Struthio camelus: one gene and its partners. The protein of the gene in region 2 interacts with the protein of the main gene of each other region in a biochemical or structural test. Links are inferred from orthologs where the notes say so. Each region holds a gene or a part of one and is shown on either strand. Other genes may lie near its edges. The genes, in order: CDC7, MCM7 and DBF4.

The links.
Region 1: of the proteins of MCM7 (region 2) and CDC7, one has a biochemical effect on the other in vitro, tested with the Homo sapiens proteins (2 studies listed by BioGRID). The link is inferred for Struthio camelus from reciprocal best matches to the Homo sapiens genes MCM7 and CDC7.
Region 3: of the proteins of MCM7 (region 2) and DBF4, one has a biochemical effect on the other in vitro, tested with the Homo sapiens proteins (2 studies listed by BioGRID). The link is inferred for Struthio camelus from reciprocal best matches to the Homo sapiens genes MCM7 and DBF4.

What each region holds. Positions count from the first base shown.
Region 1 is NC_090949.1:19,220,594-19,227,532, forward strand, and holds the start of CDC7 (cell division cycle 7-related protein kinase), read right to left. Parts: upstream 3,019-6,939; 5' UTR 2,929-3,018; intron 2,675-2,928; exon of another isoform or gene 2,480-2,674; intron 246-2,479; 5' UTR 234-245; coding exon 140-233; intron 1-139. UniProt on the Homo sapiens protein: Kinase involved in initiation of DNA replication. Phosphorylates critical substrates that regulate the G1/S phase transition and initiation of DNA replication, such as MCM proteins and CLASPIN.
Region 2 is NC_090978.1:592,668-600,477, forward strand, and holds the start of MCM7 (DNA replication licensing factor MCM7), read left to right. Parts: upstream 1-4,767; 5' UTR 4,768-5,107; coding exon 5,108-5,138; intron 5,139-5,292; coding exon 5,293-5,369; intron 5,370-7,584; coding exon 7,585-7,749; intron 7,750-7,810. Other genes in the region: AP4M1 (AP-4 complex subunit mu-1), read right to left, coding at 342-386, 464-555, 642-748, 843-896, 1,033-1,099, 1,608-1,670, 1,777-1,857, 1,953-2,063 and 4 more. UniProt on the Homo sapiens protein: Acts as a component of the MCM2-7 complex (MCM complex) which is the replicative helicase essential for 'once per cell cycle' DNA replication initiation and elongation in eukaryotic cells.
Region 3 is NC_090943.1:25,178,725-25,185,918, reverse strand, and holds the start of DBF4 (protein DBF4 homolog A), read right to left. Parts: upstream 3,016-7,194; 5' UTR 2,850-3,015; exon of another isoform or gene 2,845-2,849; intron 2,620-2,844; exon of another isoform or gene 2,428-2,619; intron 2,363-2,427; exon of another isoform or gene 2,310-2,362; 5' UTR 2,268-2,309; coding exon 2,222-2,267; intron 2,149-2,221; exon of another isoform or gene 1,823-2,148; intron 1-1,822. Other genes in the region: mitochondrial glutathione transporter SLC25A40, read left to right, coding at 5,270-5,307, 6,741-6,859. UniProt on the Homo sapiens protein: Regulatory subunit for CDC7 which activates its kinase activity thereby playing a central role in DNA replication and cell proliferation. Required for progression of S phase.

The DNA of each region.
Region 1 (6,939 bases), on a different chromosome or scaffold from region 2:
ACCTCAAGAGTTTTCATTTCACAAATTCTTTATACAATAGGACCATATACAAACAGTATATTGCTCCTGACAGTCCTTGAAGTGAGAAAGCATGCCAGCAACAAAAAGTAATATTAGTGGTCCCTGTTTTAGCACATACCTGAAAGCTGCTTGTTCTGCTCCTGCTTCCTCTGCAATTCTTCAGCCTCTTGGGGGTGCTGTTCATCACAATGAGACTTCAACACTGTCTCCATCACAAAACTAACCTGAAGTAAAAAAAATCCAAGACTTTGAGGACCACATCTGGACACCTGGGGGAGCAAACATATCTGGTAATAGACTTCCTTCTCCTTCACACAGTTCCTGAAATGAGATTCAGGGAGTTTGAGGAGTTCCTCTGTGCTAATTAAAACAACAAAGCCTTACCCATCATCCCAGAAAAAGAGAAAAATTAAACCAATAAACCCACTCTATCTCCAAGAAAGAGGAAGAAAGGGGGAAGGGAAGGAAGACTGCAGTATGAGCTTAGACAAGTGATTCTCTTTCATCTTTAGTGTTTACTCATTCACATTAAAGCATTATCCTTTCCTTAAAGTTTGCTTTGGAAAGCAAGGAATTGATCCACACAAATATCTGCGTAGTGCAACACTCATACAGAGTAACGGGAAAAAAAAAAAAAACCCACTCCTGAGACAAATTATAAGAGAGGAAAATGATTATCTTTGCAATATGATGGGAGATTTCTCTTTCTTCTAGAGATCAACAAGAAGTATAATTCTTAGTTTCCTTTTCACCATAACAAGAAATGCACACATGCTGTTTTGATATGCCTCTTGCTCAATCTTGGAAATTAAGCAAGCTGTAAGAATAAGCAAGCTGTAGTGTACTTACAGTGTATAATTCAGAAGCCGCTAATTCTATATCATGAAAAAAAGGAGGAAAGAGATAGAGCACTAGGGAAGAATAACCACAGTGATAAATGAGCCTGGAATCTGCATCTATTACAGTCACCTAGCACATATTTAAAGATCTTTCTTGCTTGTAACTTTGCCAAACTTCTGGCTGAACTTTCCTACAAGGAGGAAACATATTTTGGAAACTGTCAGCAGAAAGGATTCACCTGTTTTCAGGTATGAAGCTAGAAATATACTTTTGTCCCCAAAGAATTTTGGCTACCTTTCCTTTGTTATCCCCATGCAGCAGAACAGTGACAAGCAGCAGCCTTTTTTTGAAGCTTCGTTGGAGAAGCGGTAAAGGATAGATAAGGAGAATAGGACTTGGAAACTGATGGAGTGAGATCCGTCTACAGCCTTTCACAGTTAAACGCTCCCTCCACTAGCGTCAAGTAAGCGGATGAGCCTGTTCCACACCTGAAATGGCAGGGCCTCCTCATCAGAGGAAGGAGTGCAAATTAGTGCACTCCGCCTCTCACTGCAGCTTACTTGCTCTGATTCAGTGCCATCCCAGCCTCAGCTACAGTCTCTTCCAGTTCAAGGCTAGCTACACCCAGCTGGTTTGGGATACAGAAGATGAAAGCTCCTGTCTGCCTGCAAAACACCCTGGGAACACATGTTCCAGGACTTCCTGCCCATGAGCAGGGTAAAAGGGACTCAGTATCTCAAGGTGTCATTTACATTCATTTTTGCTAAACATAAAAGCTAATATTTGCATAACTATTTACAGAATACCTAGAATATTTGAGTATGTTAAGAAAAAACCCAACAGCGTGCTGATTTGGAAGAGGGCTTAACAGAACATTTAGCCAAGTTTGATTCAGTCAGATGTTTAGTTTTTACATTAATAAATGCTCAAAAAAATCACTGTTACAGACGAAAAGTGAAGAGGAATGATCCAAAGTTTCAGTTCAAAGAATTATTTTACAGTTAAATCACAGATCTCCAAAAAACAAACAAACAAAAACCTGTTTTTCCCAATATAAAAAAAGAGAAACAACCAGGTAGTGACAGGTTCAAACAACCTGCAGAGTTTTAGAGTCTTTTGAGTCAGATATTAGAACCTCACACACAAAAATTAGTGATACTACTGCCAAATCTCTGGCTAAAGCAGATGTCACTACCTGTAACACAATCTGTTATCACTAAAACACAAAGCTCTTCAAACAGGAGCATACCCACTGGTACTGCAGGAAAAAGCAGGGGGTGCCAAAACCAAAGGATGGTATTAGTGTATCTATTTTGTTATTTAAGAAAGGCAAATTTTGTGGCTGGATCAAGTCATGCAGTAAGTTTGCATTTTCCACAAATTTACAATAAATCATTTCATTACAGCACAAGCACTTAGAAATCACACTTCCACGCTTTCAGTTTGAGCTACCTTATGCGACTACTGCTAGACAAAAGAAAAACATCTGGGATGTGTCACAGCAGGTTAGCTTTACAAGACTGCTCCTGGTAGCAAGGCTCCTGGTCAAATGCACGCTTTCAGCTGCATTTAAGCAGCAGTCTGAGAGCATAAATATTAAAAAGTGAGCAGAAGTTACCAATTAAATGGCAAAGTTGAAGGTACGCGATGTGTGAACGGCTCCTGCAGTGACCCACGGACGCAGCGAGGTGCGCCCTGAAGGAGGCTCTTAACGCGTCAGGAGGCCCGTGCGGAGAGGGCCCTGGGCGCTCGGGCGGCGGAGCCCGCCGGACAAGAGCGGAGCGGCCGCTCGGGCAGGGCCCAGCCCGCCAAGGCACCCGCCCCCCGCCGCCGGGCTCCCCGCAGGGCACGCTGGAGCCCCGCAGCGCGGGGCCGGGCGAGGGGCGCCCCGGGAAGCCCGCCGGCCCGGGCCGCACCGGACCGATTCGCCCCTCAGGGCAGCGGTACCGGCGCCTCAGTCAGCGCCCAACGGCCGGCAGCGCGGGATGGGGTGGGGGGGGAGGGGGGTGGCGGGGAAGGGGCCCCGCCGGCGGTGCTGGGGTGGGGGAGGGGCAGGCTCAGACTCACGCGCCGCGCGGGCTCCCGCGACGAAACGGGCTTTTGCCTGCTGCCGCCTTTTGCCGAATGCCCCTCCGCGACCAATCCCGGCCCTCGGCGGAAACCGTGGCCTCGGCCAATGGGACCGCCGGCCGAGGGAAAGCGGGAGGCTATTGGCCAGCCGGCGGGGAGCGTCCCGCCCAAGGGGGCGGCCGGCCGGCCGGTGCGCGCGGGCTCGTGGCGGCTGTGGCGGCTGTGGCGAGCCCGCGCGGCGCCTCGGGCCTCGCGCTGCGGGAGCCGAGCTGAGGCGGCGGCGGTGGTGGGCGTTACCCGGGACAGCGGCCTGCGAGCGGGCTGCCCCTGCCCTCCCCTGGCAGCCCGAAAGGGGCAGCGGGGTCGGCAGCAAGGAAGTAAGCGTGAGCGCAGGAGTGGTTACTGGCCCCAGGGCCTGCTGGGGCCGGCGGCGACGGGCGGGCTGAGCGCCGGGAAGCGGGGCGCTCGGCCCTGGCCCGCGGCTTCAGGTTTGTCGCTCAGGCTTTTTGGTACATGTGCTCAGAAGCACGTGGTGGAGAACGAGGGATCTTTGTTTAAACAACGTACTAATTCCTCGTGCCCGCTGAAGGGCCAAGCACGCAGATACAGTTCAAGTGCTGCTTGAGAAAATGCTGCTGGGAAAGCGCGCTGGAGGGTTCTTGCACTTCTGTGAACTGCGAGGCAAAAAGCTCTGTGATAACTGCCTAGACAGAGGAAAACATATGAGGGTGCGTTTAATGCACAACGGGTAACTCAGAGCTGTTTTGTGCATCTGCTGATTCCACATGTCTGGAACTGCTCAGGGTATTCATGCTCTGCACAACAATATTTAGCCTTTATACATTTATTTCCTATAGGTGATTATTATGACATAATTACGGTGCCCAGATAAGGTGTTGTTGTCATTAGCTCTGCTATAAATCCAGATAAATACTTGAGACTCTGTGAAACAACTCTTCATTTACACCAGTAATAATGGAGAATATAACTTGGCCTGCTGTTTTGCTTTATTAATTAGTTGTATAGCAAAAGAGTTGCACAGAATGCAAAGTTAAAAATATATAGCATCTAGAGTCTGGAGTGCGCTATAGCCACTGGCCATGGCACAAACAAGCATGGGATGATAGTGCATAAGAAAAACGTGCAACAGTAAAGAAAAAGATTCGTTTATGCCTTACCTCCTATGAAAAGGACAGAGATTAGTGGGTTTCAAATTCTTTTGACTTGTGCCACTCTGAAAACTATCTCGTGGAGCTGTATTTGTAGAGCAGATTTAGGCCTACTCACAATAGGCCTGTTTTTCTAAGCTATAGTTCCTAGGCCCTCTGCAAGAAAACTCTGCAGCTTTAGTGGTCATAGGTTACAAACTGAGAAGGCCTCAGCTCCCTGGGTGTATGTATGATAATACTGAAGTAATTAAGAAACTCATGAGTAGTTCTTCAGGACTATTGAAGCACTGAAACTTAACATGAGCATTACAGAACTTTGCCCCATTGCACAGGGGAAAGCTTAAAGCAGGATAGTGATGTATTCAATGAACCACTGCACTACATCCCCTGCACCTAAGCAGTGCGCTCCTAAGAGCGCAGAGGTGTTTTAAAACAATTTCTTCTACGTTTCACTGTCCATTCCTCATCCGTTACTGAACATCTGGGCCCCAAACTGTCAAGTAACAATAACCAGTGCCAGGTAAAGAGGCTATCTTATTTGAATTGTATTTTGCTGTTTTTTGAAGTGGTGGAATTTTATTGAAGCTAGTGCAGTTGCATGTTTAAAAAAATAATTGGCACTTCACTTTTTGTCTTTTATCAAAACATTTTTTTCACCATTTCTTTTTGTTCTGACATTAAAAAGAATTGCTCTTTAATGGTAAAGACTAGCTGTCCTGCATTTGAATACACTAGGACTCTTGCTCACTAGAATATGAAACGTAATATTGTGTTTACTGGGTGCTTCACGTAGAGATCTGTAACTTCACCCCTTTGTAAATAACAGGAAAGCCTAAAGTGGTCAAGGTTCATAAGGCAACACTCTAACTTGGCTATTGTCTCATAATAAGATGAAATTAACAGAAACTGTAAAATCGGAAACAGATTCCACCTTCTTTACTCGCTGTGTAGTATCCTATCGTGCAGTTTAGAAAGAAGGTGTTGAAACATGTTGCTCAGCTTCTGCGGTGTTCTTTGGGTTTTTTTTAGCAATTCTAATTTGCACATTCTGTTAAGAGCTCTAATAAGCCAGTGCAGCAGCTAGAGATTTAGCTAAGTAAAGTAAACTCTCAACAATTTTATTTAAGGGCGAGAGTATTTAAGAGCAGATTACAGCAAACATGAATTAAGTGAGGGATAATAACAGAATAATGCAGGCCAAATTCTGTTCTTTCTTTTCTCCATGTAATCCTATAGCAGGTAGAAGGATAGCATAAGCATAAATGAGAGCAGGCTTGTCCTAGTGCTAATGACAGGCACTGTCATTCTAAATTTACCTATTAGGACAGCCTGCCAGCAATCATTTCTGCATACTGTACACTGCATACAAGCAGTGCATTAATTATTCAAAAATCTGGATATTATCTGGAGATATCTGGAGATTATTTTTGAGTTGCACGTATAGCTCTGCTGCCTCCTGGCCAGTTCAGAATTACAGCCTACCTCGCTGGCCTCCCTTTGTGCCTTTGAGTTCTGATAATGTAGAACCACCTTTTTTATCCTTGCACTTCTTATAGAGCTTCCGTTATTAGCATTTCTTTGTTAATGATGTCAATGCTACCTTTTTCCCTGTCACTCAGGCTGTATTCATTCAGAGTGAGAAATCCCTTTCACTTTATCTTCTAATCTAAGCTTGGTCCAGATGTCATTTCTTTCCTTATAATATCTCAGACTCTCTTTATTCTAACACCTAAAATCCTTATCATTTAGACTCGGTCATTTGTCTACACTGATGACTTGTTCCTCTCTGTTTCCTCTTTTTCCTATTGATCCAAATTTATCGCAATCCCTCATTCAGTCTTTCCAGTGATTTCTGTTCTCCATCATGTCAAATTTACGTTTATTTGTTCTCACTAGTGTAGCTGCACTTGTAATATAATCTAATATTGTCTTTTTTTGTTGTCCTACTCTTTTTTTAGTCTTCCAGAAATGCCAGTCTTGACACTGGCCTTCATTTGTGTTTCTCTTCTTGCTTCTTGTCTGTCTAAGGAGGAAGTTCAGTCAAGTTAGCCATGACTCTCCTCATATGAGTAGCTTGTCGAAAATCACCTCTTCATCAATGTCTTTCTTCATATACATCTTCACAGGAGTGATAGATTAGGTATTCTGTTTCTACTACATCTTCTCTAGCTTGTTTTTATTTTATTTAGAATGTAGAATTGGTAAAGGCAAAGCTTCTCTTCCTTTGCTAAAAAAAAGAGAAATGCCCTCTTTTCATTTAGCTTGAATAAGCAGAAATCCCTTTACTTCTCTGCAGATGAGGCAGAGAAAGCTCTCATTCAGCACTGAGCTTCCAATTCTTACAATGTACCTAAGTTAGGAGCTTATCAGAGGGGAAAGAAGAAATTACATCAACTAAATATGATAAACAGAATGGCATGTCTAATGCTCTGCAAGCCAAACTGCTGCACTGTCTTCTCTTGTGACTTTATCTCTTTTGTTGGATCTGTAGGATGAGAAGCCAAATGACAAGGCAGGCCCACGAAGAACTTTGCTTAAGGCAGACAAGCAGTTGCCAAAACCAACCTCTGGGAGGTCTGAGAAGAAATGATCAAAACGTTGCTGTGTGATTGCATCCACTCTGCCAGAATCTGCAGGTGAATCGAATTTTTTTTTTTTATATATATCTACTGAAAAATGTAAAAGAATCAGTGCTGACTCTGGAAAACGTCTGTTAACCTCTTCCTAGGTCAATTAAGCTAGCACAATTCTCCCTGTGTATGTATTATGCTCTAACCTTATAAAAAAGAAAGGACACAGCCAGGAAGATAATTGATGAAAGAATCCAGCACAGAGAGAG
Region 2 (7,810 bases):
TGGACACCCCCACCCCTACAGGCACCCATGGACACCCACTAGACCCCCCCCACCCATGGACACCCACCGGACACCCCCACCCCTACAGACTCCCATGGACACCCACCAGACCCCCCTCTCACCCACGGATACCCACCAGGCACCCCCAGCCCCATGGATGCCCACTGGACACCCCCCACCCCTACAGGCACCCATGGACACCCACTAGACCCCCCACCACCACCCATGGACACCCCTTGGACACCTCCACCCCTACAGACACCCATGGACACCCACCACACTCCCCCCTCTCACCCATGGACACCCACCAGCCACCCCCCAAGCCCCCCCTCCCCCCAAACCTTTTGGGTGGCAGGTCGCAGCGGAGCTTCAGGTACAGCCGCAACCTGCGGGGGACGCGGGGCCACGTCAGCACCGGGGTCACCCAAACCCCCCCCCACCCAAACCCCCCCCCCACCCTCACCTGCCCGCAGCGTCCCGGTCCACGGTTGGGAAGAGGCGGAAGGGCAAAGGCGCCGGGATGTCATCCGCCAGCTGGTACTGCATGAGCGTGAGCTGCCCCGGGTGGGGAGGGGGAAAGGGGGTCAGGATGGGTGCCCCCCCATCACCCTAGGGTGCCCCCCACCCATCCGAATCCTCACCTCACCCTGGCTCGGGGTCACCTTGAGCACCCGGCCGCTCTCGAACTCGTCCAGCTTGACGGCGCCGTGGAAGGCGCATTCATCCACGCGGACGGCCGTGCCGTAGCCTTGGTGGGGGGGGGAGGCGATTTTGGGGGCAAAAAAGGACGTTTAGGGTTTTTTTTTCCCCCTTGGGGGGGAGTTGGGGGGGGTGGGACGCACCTCGCACCTCCGACTTGCCCACGCAGAACTCCTCCGTCAGCCCGATGCGCATCTCTGCGGGGACGCGGCGGTGTCACCCACCGGGGTGGCGGGGGGACGGACACGGTGGTGGCGGGTTTTGGGGTGGGGGGGGACACCCAGCCCCGTACACCCAATGCCGCTGGGGACCCCCCCCCCCCCCCCCGCTCACCGCAGCAGCTGGGCACGTAGCACTTGAGGCGAATTTCCCCCTGGACGTCCACCTTCGTGGGTGTCCCCTGGGGACGCGGGGACGAGGGGTGAGCCGGGGTTGGGGGGGACGCGGGGCGTTTTGGGGACATGGGATTCCCCCCCCCCAGGCTGAGGTGTTGGGAGGGGGGACATGGGGGGACACGGGGTGCTTTGGGGACAGGGAACACCCCCAGGCCGAGCAAAGGTGCCTCGGGGGGAGACACGGGGTACGTGGGGCACTTTGGGGACAGGGGACACCCCCAGGCTGAGCTGAGGTGCCTCGAGGGGGGACACAGGGGGGACACGGGGCGCTTTGGGGACAGGGGACACCCCCAAGCCAAGCTGCCTGGGGGGGGACACGAGGGGGACGCGGGGCACTTTGGGGACAGGGGACACCCCCAAGCCAAGCTGCCTGGGGGGAGACATGAGGGGGGACGCGAAGTGCTTCGGAGACAGGGGACACCCCCAGGTCGAGGTGCCCGGAGGTGGGGGGACGAGTGGGAGGGAGGGGACACTGGGGGGGGACGACCGAGCGGTGGCCCCGTCCCCACTCACGTTGGCCGCGATGACCACCGTCAGCCTCTCCACCACGTCCACGAAAACCTCGTTCTTGGCGCCCTGTGGCCGCAGAGACAGTCGGCGGTGACACGGGGACACCCGTGGGGCGGGGGGAGGGGGGACACGGGGACACCCATCGGGTGGGGCGGCAGGGGGGGGGTCCTACCTGCTCCCCCCGAGGTGGCAGCACGGGGCGGCTGGCGGCCGAGCTGGGGGCCACCTTGCTCTGCTGCGTCTCGGCGCCGAACTGCAACGAGGAGGAGGAAGAGGAAGGGGGCGTTCGCCGGACGTGGGTGCGAGGGCACCCATGGGTGGGGTTGGGGGGGGGGGTTGGGTGCTCACCAGCCCGATGGAGCCCAGGTCCAGGAGGCTGAAGGGTTTGGTGGCCACGGGCTCCGTGTGCATGAAGTTGCGCAGCACCTCGGGCGCCGTGGTCTGGATGTAACCGTAGTCCTGGCGGGGGGGGGGGGACACACAGGGATGTCCCCGTGTCCCCCCCTCCCCCAGGGGTGTCCTCAGCCCCTTTGGGTTGTCCCCAGCACCCTAAAGATGCTCCTGAGTGGCCCCCCCCACAAAGGTGGCCCCCCAGCTCTCTCTCTAGGGTGTTCCCACTACCCCCCTCTAATGTCCCCGTCACCCCATGGGGGTGTCCCCACCACACTCAGGTGTCCCCATCACCCCCAGAGCTGTCCCCAGCCCCAGGAGAGTGTCGCTTGGCCTCCCCCATCATGTCCCCAGCTCCCTCTAGGGTGGCCCTGGTCCCCCCCCCCAAGCTGTCCTCAGCAGGGCCACCACTACCCCAGGGTGTTCCCACCTCCCTCTGTGGTGGCTTCAGTCCCCCAAACTGTCCCCAGCAGGGCCACCACCACCACCCCAGGGTGTCCTCACCTCCCTCTGAGGTGGCCCCAGTCTCCCAAACTGTCCCCAAACTGTCCCCATAGTGTCCTCATAGCACCCCCAGCAGGGTCACCACCACCCCAGGGTGTCCCCATCTCCCTCTGAGGTGGCCCCAGTCTCCCAAACTGTCCCCAAACTGTCCCCATAGCCCCCTCAGGGGGTCCACCACCACCCCAGGGGGTCCCCACCTCCCTCTGAGGTGGCCCCAGTCCCCCAAACTGTCCCCATAGCCCCCCCAGCAGGGTCACCACCACCCCAGGGTGTCACCACCTCCCTCTGAGGTGGCTCCAGTCCCCCAAACTGTCCCCAAACTGTCCCCATAGTGCCCCCAGCAGGGTCACCACCACCCCAAGATGTCCCCAGCTCCCCCCGGGGTGGCCCCTGTGTCCCTCCCAAGGCATCCCCAGGGACAACCCCACGCCCTAGGGGTGTCCCCGTCACCCCGTAGGGTGTCCCAAGGCGCCCACCCACCAGCATCTCGTCCAGGAGCTCGTAGACGAGGGCGAAGTTGAGGGCGACGTTCTTCTCGCTGAGGGTCCCGCAGCAGTCCCGCAGCAACGTCACCAACCTGCGCCGGCGGGCCGTCAACGGGTTCCCCCCACTCTGCCGCGTCCCCTCCTGTCCCCCGGTGTGTCCCCCCCACCCCCCGAAAACCCCCCCTCCCCATACCTATTGAGGAACTCCACCAAGGTGAAGGGCGACGCATCTGGCGCGGCGGTGGCCACCACGTAGAGCCCCGCGTGCCGCACGTGGACAAAGTGCCGGCCCTCGTGCACCTGCGGAGGTGGCGGGTGGGTGGTGGGGGGGGCGAAACGGAGCTGGGAAGGGTGCTGGGACCCCTCCCCCACCACCACCCCGTTTCAGCACCCTACCACCACCCTCACCATGAAGACGGGAGCTTGGTCGCCCGGCAAAGCCGTGATCTTCTTGTAGAAGGTGTCGGCGAGGTCCTGGCTGGTGGCACCGGCCTCGCCACGGACCGGTCTGCGGTTAAGGAGAAGCAGAAGAAGGTGGGGAGCAGGGGGGGCAAGGGGGACCCCTCCCCAACCTCTCACCCCATCCCACCCACCCAGCACCCACGCTGGAGCAGGATACAGTCCTTATGGATGAGGCGGTCGCCCTTGGAGGAGAGGATGAAGAGCTGGGAGAGCATCGCTGGCCTGGCGGGAGGCGGAGGGGGTGGCTCGAGTGGGACCCTCCCCCCCTTCCTTCACCCCGAGACCCCCCCCACTCACCCTCTGGCCACCTTTGGGTGCTACCAGGGCTCTGCACCTTCGAAAGAGCTCTGCGCCCTCCAGGTCCTGCTCCCCACCCCACCAGGACCCAGCACCCATCAAGTGCCCCTTCATCAAGACCCAGTACCCCCAGACACCCCCATCCACCCCCCCCACACCCAGCACCCCCCCAAGGCTCCAGCACCCCCAGAGCCCCCCATCCACCCCCCCAGCACCCCCCAAGTGCTCCCCCATCAGGACCCAGCACCCTCTGACCCCCCCCATCCCCCCCCATCCTCCAGCATCCCCCCCAAGGCCCCAGCACCCCCCAAGTGCTCCCCCATCAGGACCCAGCACCCCCAGACCACCCATCCATCCCCTCCAAGGCCCCAGCACCCCCCAAGTGCCCCCCATCCACCCCCCCAGCACCCAGCACCCCAAGGCCCTAGCACCCCCAGAGCCCCCATCCACCCCCCCAGCCCCCAGCACCCCCCCAAGGCCTCAGCACCCCCAGATCCCCCCATCCCCCCTCAGCACCCAGCACCCCCCCAAGGCTCCAGCACCCCCAGAGCCCCCCATCCCCCCTCAGCCCCCAGCACCCCCCCAAGGCCTCAGCACCCCCAGATCCCCCCATCCCCCCTCAGCACCCAGCACCCCTCCAAGGCTCCAGCACCCCCAGAGCCCCCCATCCCCCCTCAGCACCCAGCACCCCAAGGCCCTAGCACCCCCAGACCCCCCATCCAGCCCCCAGCACCCCCCCAAGGCCCCAGCACCCCCCAAGTGCCCCCCATCCACCCCCCCAGCACCCCTCCAAGGCCCCAGCACCCCCAGACCCCCCCATCCACCCTCCCCAGCACCCAGCACCCCCCGGCCCCGCCCCCCCGCAACCGCGGCCCCTTTAAGAGGGGGCGGGGCCAGGGCCCCCCGCGGGTCTCCCCGAACCTCGGTCCCGTCCGGCCGCGCGGGGGAAAGCGGGAGTCACGTGACGCGGCCCAAAGGAGGCGGAGCCCGCGCCGGGCCGCCTCGCCCCGCGATTGGGCGGGGCCGCGCGGGGCGGGGCGAAGGGGGCGAGGCCGGCCCCGGATTGGCCCGCGGGCGCCACGTGAGGCGCCTTTTCGCGCCACTTTTGGTTGCGGCGGCCGGAGCCGGAGTGGCGGCGCTCAGCGGCGTTGACCCCTGCAAGGTCCCGTACCGGGCCGCCGAACCGTGAACGCGACTGACCGGGCTTGACCCTTACGGCCACCCGTCACTGACCCTTGCCGCGACCCGTACCGACGCACAGAACCGGAGCCTCACTGATTGGGCCTCACCCCTACGGGCACCCGTACCGGAGACGCCGAACCGGAACCACACTGACCCCCACCGGTCCCCGTAGACCTCCCCGCCATGGCACCGCGCGATTACACCGCCGAGAAGGGTACGAAGACCCCCCCCCCCCGGAAGCCGGGACCGGCAGCGCGGGGCACTTCCGGGGTCGGGCGACCACCTGTGGCTTTGTTTACCGGGCCCGGGGGAGGGGGGGCGTGGGGACACCGGGACACCGGGCCTGACATGTCCCCTCCCTCCCGCAGATAAGGTGAAGCGCTTCCTGCAGGAGTTTTACCGCGATGGCGACTTGGGCAAGGAGTTCCCGTACCGGGACCAGCTGGTGAGAGATGGGGCAGCACCGGGCCGGGGTGGGGGGACCCTCGGGGGGGGGCTATTCCCGCCCCTGTCCCCCCACGGAGCCACCGGTGACAGCGCCGTGCCAGATTGGGGTCCCTTGTCCCCTTAGAAGAGCCATGGGTGCCACCATTGGGCTGGATGGGGGTCTGTCCTTGTCCCCATTGCGCTGGTAGCGTCACTGGGGGGACCCATGTGTGAGATCGGGGGTCCCTCGTCCCCCTAGAAGAGCCACGGGTGCCACCACTGGGCTGGATGGGGGTCTGTCCTTGTCCCCATTGCACTGGTAGCGTCACTGGGAGACCCATGTGTGAGATTGGGGGTCCCTCGTCCCCCTAGAAGAGCCACGGGTGCCACCTCTGGGCTGCATGGGGGTCTGTCCTTGTCCCCATTGTGCTGGTAGTGTCACTGGGAGACCCACGTGTGAGATCGGGGGTCCCTTGTCCCCCTAGAAGAGCCACGGGTGCCACCACTGGGCTGGATGGGGGTCTGTCCTTGTCCCCATTGTGCTGGTAGTGTCACTGGGGGGACCCACGTGTGAGATCGGGGGTCCCTCGTCCCCCTAGAAGAGCCATGGGTGCCACCTCTGGGCTGGATGGGGGTCCGTCCTTGTCCCCATTGCGCTGGTAGTGTCACTGGGAGACCCACGTGTGAGATTGGGGGTCCCTTGTCCCCCTAGAAGAGCCATGGGTGCCACCTCTGGGCTGGATGGGGGTCTGTCCTTGTCCCCATTGCGCTGGTAGTGTCACTGGGGGGACCCATGTGTGAGATTGGGGGTCCCTTGTCCCCCTAGAAGAGCCACGGGTGCCACCTCTGGGCTGGATGGGGGTCCGTCCTTGTCCCCATTGCGCTGGTAGTGTCACTGGGAGACCCACGTGTGAGATCGGGGTCCCTCGTCCCCCTAGAAGAGCCATGGGTGCCACCTCTGGGCTGGATGGGGGTCTGTCCTTGTCCCCATTGCGCTGGTAGTGTCACTGGGAGACCCACGTGTGAGATCGGGGTCCCTTGTCCCCCTAGAAGAGCCATGGGTGCCACCTCTGGGCTGGATGGGGGTCTGTCCTTGTCCCCATTGTGCTGGTAGTGTCACTGGGGGGACCAACGTGTGAGATCGGGGGTCCCTTGTCCCCCTAGAAGAGCCACGGGTGCCACCTCTGGGCTGGATGGGGGTCCGTCCTTGTCCCCATTGCGCTGGTAGTGTCACTGGGAGACCCACGTGTGAGATCGGGGTCCCTTGTCCCCCTAGAAGAGCCATGGGTGCCACCTCTGGGCTGGATGGGGGTCTGTCCTTGTCCCCATTGCGCTGGTAGTGTCACTGGGAGGACCCATGTGTGAGATCGGGGGTCCCTCGTCCCCCTAGAAGAGCCACGGGTGCCACCACTGGGCTGGATGGGGGTCTGTCCTTGTCCCCATTGTGCTGGTAGTGTCACTGGGGGGACCAACGTGTGAGATCGGGGGTCCCTTGTCCCCCTAGAAGAGCCACGGGTGCCACCTCTGGGCTGGATGGGGGTCCGTCCTTGTCCCCATTGCGCTGGTAGCGTCACTGGGAGACCCACGTGTGAGATTGGGGGTCCCTTGTCCCCCTAGAAGAGCCATGGGTGCCACCTCTGGGCTGGATGGGGGTCCGTCCTTGTCCCCATTGCGCTGGTAGTGTCACTGGGAGACCCACGTGTGAGATTGGGGGTCCCTCATCCCCCTAGAAGAGCCACGGGTGCCACCTCTGGGCTGGATGGGGGTCTGTCCTTGTCCCCATTGCACTGGTAGTGTCACTGGGGGGACCCATGTGTGAGATCGGGGGTCCCTCGTCCCCCTAGAAGAGCCACGGGTGCCACCTCTGGGCTGGATGGGGGTCTGTCCTTGTCCCCATTGCGCTGGTAGTGTCACTGGGAGACCCACGTGTGAGATTGGGGGTCCCTCGTCCCCCTAGAAGAGCCACGGGTGCCACCTCTGGGCTGGATGGGGGTCTGTCCTTGTCCCCATTGCGCTGGTAGTGTCACTGGGAGGACCCACGTGTGAGATCGGGGGTCCCTCGTCCCCCTAGAAGAGCCACGGGTGCCACCTCTGGGCTGGATGGGGGGTCCTTGTCCCCCTCCCAGGCTGAATCAGGCTCTCTCCTGTCACCCGCTGGAGCTGCGGGTGATGCCCCCGTGCCAGCCGGGGGTCCTTCCTCGCTCCCCCAACCCCTCCCACCCTGTCCCCCGCAGGCCGCGCTGGCGCACCGGGACCAGGTGGCCCTCTACGTGGCCCTGGACGACGTGGCCGAGGACGACCCCGAGCTGGCGGACGCCGTGTGCGAGAACGCCAAGCGCTACAGCCGCCTCTTCGCCGACGCCGTGCACGAGCTGCTGCCCCAGTACAAGGAGCGCGAGGTGCCCGAGAGCCGAGGCGGGGAGGTGTGGGGACACCCCGCTGTCCCCTCCTGACACCTTC
Region 3 (7,194 bases), on a different chromosome or scaffold from region 2:
AAGGATTTATGTAGTCCCATTAGAACAAAAGCAGACGAAAAAGTAACTAAAATTACAAAAAATGTAAGACTTAGATCCTCCTTTTTGTTATTTAATGTTTGAGTACCCACCTGAGATGCAGTAAGACTATGCTTAAGTCTGGGAACTTGAACATAATTCTAGTTATAACAGCTCTTTCTCTCCTGGTGAATTTTGCTCTAACATTAAGAAACCACATCTGGCAATGTAACTGTGCTTTGAACAGTTGAACTTTCCTAGAGCTAGATCAGACTAGGTTTTTAAGTAAGCAACACAAATTTCAGTATAGGTGAGAAGCAAGCCTCATTTCCCAAGGAAAATTCTGGGACTGTGGTAGATATGTCTGTGAGAACATCAGCTGAATAACGAGTAGCAATCAAAATAGTAAAAAAACCTAAAAAGGAATAAAAAATAGAAGTGCAGAATTTTATTACGCCACTGTATAAATTCATGGTTTGCTCACTCCTTAGATACAGCATACCCTTCTAAGCAAAAAAATTAAATAAATAAATAAAAGGGATCAAAAGGGTAACAAGGACGATCGAAGGTTTGAAAAAACTTCTGCATAAGAAATGACTTTGTAGATTAAGACTTGACAGTCTGCAAAATAAACCATTTACAGAAAATACAGTAAAAACGTATAAAATCAAGAAGAACACAGAGAGGGCGGCTAAACAGCCTGTTCCAGTACAAGGGATATGGGACACGAAACAAAACAAGGAGACAGGTACAAAACGGACAAGAGGAATTGGTTCTTTGTGCAGCAGGTCAGCTCTGCGCAGCATGTTGCTGCACAAAGACTGGTGTAGTTACTAAGACATGGTTTCAAGGGGGACTGGACAAGTACATGAAAGAAAAATACTTTGAGGGGTTCCAAATGCACAGACATGACATGCAATTCATGAAGTCGCTGTAGCTGACCACAGTTGGGCACTAAGATAATATTAGTGATTATACCTTCCCTGGTCTTATATACTTCCAGAGGAATCCACTTACAACCACTGATGGAAACGGGACCATCCAAGACTGACATAATGTCGGGTTTACGTTGTCTTTTCTTGCTCACTGACTGACACCCTACTACTAGTTGCTTTCTTCCGAAGCAGCTCAAAATAGACAACCACAGCTGCTGCAGGAAATGAGCAAGGCTCTTCTAGAGACAAAAAAAAAAAGGTTCCTCTGTTATGTATTCTCTCCCTACCTGAAACTATCTGAGCTGAAAAAGGGATGAGTACCACCACTGATACTGCAGGACTCTGTAAGTAACAGTTAGGAATAGACAAAAGTGAAGCAAGAATAGGTTTGGCAGAATCTGGAAGACCAAAAGAAGTAACTAGGAAAGCAGGAAAATGTGGACGGCTTGGGGTAACACAACTGATTTAGAAACTAAAGACGGATGAAATGTTGGGCAAAAGATAAGCAGATGTGCAAATGTGAAGTTCTGTAGGAGACCCAAGAACCAAATGTGGTCTTATACCCAACACGCATATATGATGGCCAGGGAAGCGCAGATTAATGCACTAAATACTAGAGTTAACCCTGGAAAATACATATCAAACTTCCTGAGGATAATCAAAAGCTTGCAGTTAGTTAGCAGTACTGCAATAACAGGATAGCAGTCTCTCATAAAGATAACTTCATGGTATTCATGTAGAGAAGGAACATTTTAATATCCATAGCCTAACATGGTGAGGAGACCTCCTACGTGTGTTGCTGATACCAGCAGACATCTGCCTGGGTGGAGCAGCCTGCAGGGCAGAGGCCTAGCGAATTTCAACATAGCTACTATTTGCTGCTTGTTTGCACTTCAAACAGCTCATAAAAAGGAGCAAGTAACCTAGCTTATCTACCCTTTCGGTTACATACTTTTACATTTAATCCCCAAAACTATGGAGAAGTTAAAAAAAGAAAAAAAAGTTAAGCGCTAACCTGCTAGATTGATCTCTATCCTTAGCGTTATTTCGGCTGCACACCACGAACAAAGACAGCTCAACGCGTGTCACCGCTAGCCCGACAGAGGCGGGAGGCCCGGAGCCAGCAGCAGCCCCGGGCTGCCGGGGCGGCTCACCAGGAGGCCGCGGAAGGAGGCCCCGGGCGGGCCGCCGCTGAAGGTGACCCCCCTGCCGGTGGGTAAGGTCCCACACAGCCCCCCCCCCCGCTCCCAGCCGGGCGCTCCGCGGCCGCGGGGCCACCCGCCACTTACGGGGACGCGCTCCTTTGCTGGCGGCCGCCGCAGCGCTCGGTTTCATCTTCCCGCGGAGTCACATCCTCTCTTCCGCCCGCTGCTGGACCTGCGGGGGCGCAGCGCGGCCGCTGAGCTCCGGCTCGCCCCAGAGCCGGCTCCCGGCCCTGGGCCCGGGCCCCTCCGCCGCCGTTGGGGCAGGCGCGGGTCGCCGCACCTCACTTCACCTCAGCTCAGCTCAGCTCACCGCGCTTTCCCGCCTCCGGCAGCCCGCCGCGCTGGGCCTCGCTTCTGCTCCCCGGGGAGCAGCGCCGCGGGCCGAGGCGAGGAAAGCAACTCTGCCGCCCGGCGGCGCCCCGCACCCCGCCGCGGGCTGAGCCTGAGCAACGGTCGTCCGCGGGCGCGCGCGCACGCACGCGGTAGGGCGGGGGGAGGGGCGGGGCGGGGGAGGCGATGCCGGGTGGCTGTGGGCAGGGCCCGGGAACCCAGCGAGGGGAAGGGAAAGGCGGGACGTGGTGCCTCGGTGGAGGAGGAAAGAGAGGAGTCGCGGCTGGGGGGGGGCGCGGTGGCCGGGCCTTGGGCGGAGGGAGGTCGCCGGCCGTTAGCGCGTGAGGCGGGGGGAAGGCCGCCGCCGCCTGCCTCACCTCACCTCGCCGCGCCGCACCTCAGGGGCCGGGGAGGCGCGGGCGAGGGTCGGTGGGCGCCATCACGAGGAGAAACCCCTGGGAGAAAGTGTCTGGGGTGTGCTTACAGCTGGCCCCGGCAGGGTGGAGGGGGGGGGCTTTGCCTGCGCGGTGGGAAGGCGGAAGCTGTGTGTTCGAGAGCGCTGGCGGGAGAAAGCCTGTAGGGGACTGGGGAGATGGGGAGAGGTAACTCCTTAACTCCTTGGCTCAGTGATGTTCTTCTGTAGGCGTTTACTGCTAACTTCAAACACCTCTTCGGAAAACCAGGGACTAAAAATTGCCCATGGGATGTGTGTGAATTTGAAACTGTACTTACTATGCAAGCTGTTGGTAGAAGTGCTGTGAGAGGCTGCTGTTTCCTGTTTTGTCAGGCTTTAAAAAACAAGTGAATCCCTCTATTTACAGGGCCAGAATTTAGTGACTCAGCTGTGTTTATGCAACTTCTTGGATTTTGCCCATACTTGTGTTGGCATTGTAATCCTCCTACCGAGTATCGGTGGGAGCAAGAAAGTTCAAATTCGTTTGCATACTGGTCGTTCAGCTAGAAAACACATACCCCAGTTGTTTCATTTTTAACCTTATCCCAGTCAACCTTTCCTATTTCTGCAAATGATAAAGTAATGATCACTTATATAAGTGGTAAAGTTTGAGGCCTTTTTCCCCGACTGAGAAGTGTTTAGTGTCCTTTTAGAACATAAAGTCATAATGGGAAAGGAAAAAGCACCAAATTCAAGGAAAGTCTTGTGCTCTCTTCATGTTCTGTTTAGAGTGTGCAGCTTCTCTGAGCTAGTTCACAGCTCAAAAGGCTGTGGAAAACAATGTTAGCGTCAGAGATTTAAGCTATTGTCTTACTAGTTTAGTGCAGTGACTCCCAAGGGACCTAGGGATCTCAAAAGGAAGCTACAGAAAACAAACTCTATTCTATTGATTTGTGTAAGAAAAACAAATCCTTATTTTTCTATGCCCTGATTGGAAATTTCTTTTCTTTTTAGGGATTGCTTTGTGAAAGCAAAAAAGGCACTAAAATCTCTTACTTCATTTCATACTGCCATAGAAACCTTTCAGGACCAAGTAACAGTTTGTGAATAGAAGTCTTTCATTTTCTTGGTCTTGAATGTCTTTTTGCTCCAGGGTACATTTCATATCATTCTAGTCTTCTTTTACAACACTTTTACAGATACAGTAATAATTATGATCTGTGTTTACATAATACAATTCATAATAATCGTAAAACACTTATGCTACCAGAAATCAAAGAAATTAAAGAATAGAGAAGGAACTCCTGAGAGCATTTGGTTTAAAATGTGACTGCAGATAAGAAGATAGTAACAAAATGTCAGCGTGCTATATTTGAAGACAGCTTTGTTGGTGCGTGATCCTGTTTACAGCTTCTTCTCACTAAGAAAGATCTGTTTCCACACCGCTGGTGAGACTCCAGCCTCAGCAATGGCTCAGAATGCCTGGGTTTTTACGTTTCATGGCATATGGGAGTTACAAATGATTTCTTTATGAATTTGACGATTATGCCTGTTTGACTAATATGATTTTTGTATATGAAAGTTGTATTCAACGCTGTTGGATCCTTTTGCTTTAAGTACTTGTGTGGTGGGTTCTGCATGCAAACAGCTTTCAGTGTTTTATTTAGCAATAAGTAAGTATTTAACCAATTTGTATTTTGTTCTTACAAGTGCAGATCATGTTTGACAGATAATGAGAAAAGAACATTGGGTGTATCTACAAAGATTCTGTCTTGAGCCCGTGATTAGGAACATGGAATCATTTACTCAACCAACAGCTGTGCGGATTAAATATGTATTTGTTTTTGTGGTGATGAGTAATTTATGGTCATGCAAATTTGTCAGGTGTTTCTTTTGAAATCTGAGAGTTAGTTTAGCTATTGGCCAAAGACATTACCACTGCTACCCATCTTACTTTTTGGTTTTTATGGTGTACCGCCTCAGCATGGCAGCAGTGTAGCCAATGAGGTGAGTCATAGGTGCTGTGTTCCTAGTTGAAAATGTGTCCCGATATCCCACTAAGGTGGCTTGGAATACAGCTGTCAGTCTTGGCTGTGTTTCTAAGCCTCTATGGAAACTGTAAGGCATTGGCTGTAACCCACAGTTCCTTCCCAGCTCTTCTCTAAGAGTAATCCCTATGGGGGTTCATGTTTTGTGGGAGTCCTCTGACATTTTTCTTTTGTATCTTTTTTTTTTTTTATCTGATTTGGAAAATCGTTGATCTGTGTTAACCTTAGCAGTTTGTATGTGGGGAAAGAGTAGTAACCTTAACAGTGCAGTAAAGAAGGATGAGAACAAGTTAAAGAGCAGAAAGGAGTCATACTCATTCTGTGTCTGCAAGGTGCTGTAGCAGGTTCCGGCTGGTATAGATGTTCCTTCTAAGGCTTTGGGCTTCATGTAGCATTTTGTAAGTGACTTCTTTGGCTATGTTGCTGCAGAAGTATTATGTCTGATTCAGTACAAAAGCTTGACCATCAGCTTATGAGACTTTCTCTCATTGCTGCCGGGACAGTTAGCAAAACATGCCATGCCAAGGTACTAAGGCCAAATGCAGCAATTCTCTTACTCAGTCAGATGGAAAAGCTGCCTTCTGTTCATGCAGGCATGTTGTGAACAGATGGGGGAACTAATCAAATTCAGTGCTTCCCACCCCACTCATCTCCTCGAAAGACTGTTTTATTTAAAGCCAGATCAGTTTCCTGGTACAGTTACAGCATAGTTTCACAAACTGTTGGGCAGATACTGTTAAAAAGGCAGTGTGCTGATACTTACAGGTATAAGCAGTTGGAGGAGCCAGTTAAGGATGCTCTAAATTTTTATTGTTGCTGAAGACTTTGTTTCTGGAGATCACAGCCTGGTTGCTTCTTATAAAAGAACTGTATATGCTATTTTTGAAAGTATTATAGAATAAATTAGAAAATCTATTACATTAAAAAGCCAAAAAATCCCAAAGAAAATTAATGGTTGTTAGACAAATCTGTTTTATGCAGTTTAGTCTCTTTATCTTTTAAGCTAAGTGAAAATAACAAAATATAATGTTCCTATAAATTGAACTAAAAAAGGAGACCTTTGCAAACAATAATAAAGTCATAACGACACTTATTACACATACATTTTTAAAGCTATGCCATTATTTAGGGATTTTATGTCCTGGAAAGAAAAAAAAGAAGAAACAATTTTCTAGCTGGTTATGGATACTGGGAATACATTATCTCCTTATTTTTTAGATACTATGAATACGTTTGCAAGGTACTGTAACCTTGCCTGCATAGCTGTACAGCAGGATTTGTTCAAGGAATGAATATTCAATGATAGCAATGCAGTATGCTAGTTAGTTGCTATTTCTTGCTGTATGAGGAGTTGAACAGGGAATACAGTCACTGCGACTAGGCTGTGAATTGGATCAGTCAGGGGTCCTCTCCTGATTTTCTCACAGGAATGACAAGAGGACAGCTAGATAAATTATTCTGCTATGCTACAGACAGTTTATGGGCCACAGGCTGCACATTTATCATTGTACTGCAAATTTGCATGCTCCTAAATGCTTTGCAGCAAGAGGTGATGCATATTAAATATTTAATGTCATTTACAAAAATGTAAACATTGTAATACATATAAGAATTATTTGGGAGATTTATTTTTATTTTGAAAATTTAGATTGTTAAAAAAGATGGAGCAAATATTGTAATTTAAAAAAAAGATTTTTTGCATGCAAGTAGAAAATTGGTATTTATTGCTACTTACATATAATGTATTAATGAAAATTAAAAATAACTTTTCCTTTGAATTTCTGTAAATTTTGAATATAGTTCTGCAATATATTTTTCTGTTCCTTAACAGGTTTTCCTTCTCTAAGGATAAAGTTATGGCTGAAAAGGATGATAGTGACTTAGATAAAACAACTAGTATTCAGCAAGCAGTAGCTTCTTGCTTTGGAGCTATAATTACATCATTTTTTGGTAAGGCAAACTATTAAGCTCACCATAGAGAGAATCTTTGCAAAGTTGATTACTCTTCAGCTTGCACCAGCAAGATATCTGCAAATACATACATACATACATGTAATATGTGTATATATATATATATAATATGTATATGTGTATATGTATATAGTTTTCTCATAATTTCATATATTTTAATAAATGCAGTGATTAATTGAAATCTTTCCAGTCTCTTTAACCCAATCTTTAACCATTTCTAAAAATAAGAATAGTTTTTATTAACCTTTCTTCTCTATGTTTTTTGTTGGTATAGTAATTCATTGTTTTCTCTCTGTAAGAAACAAAATGAGTGT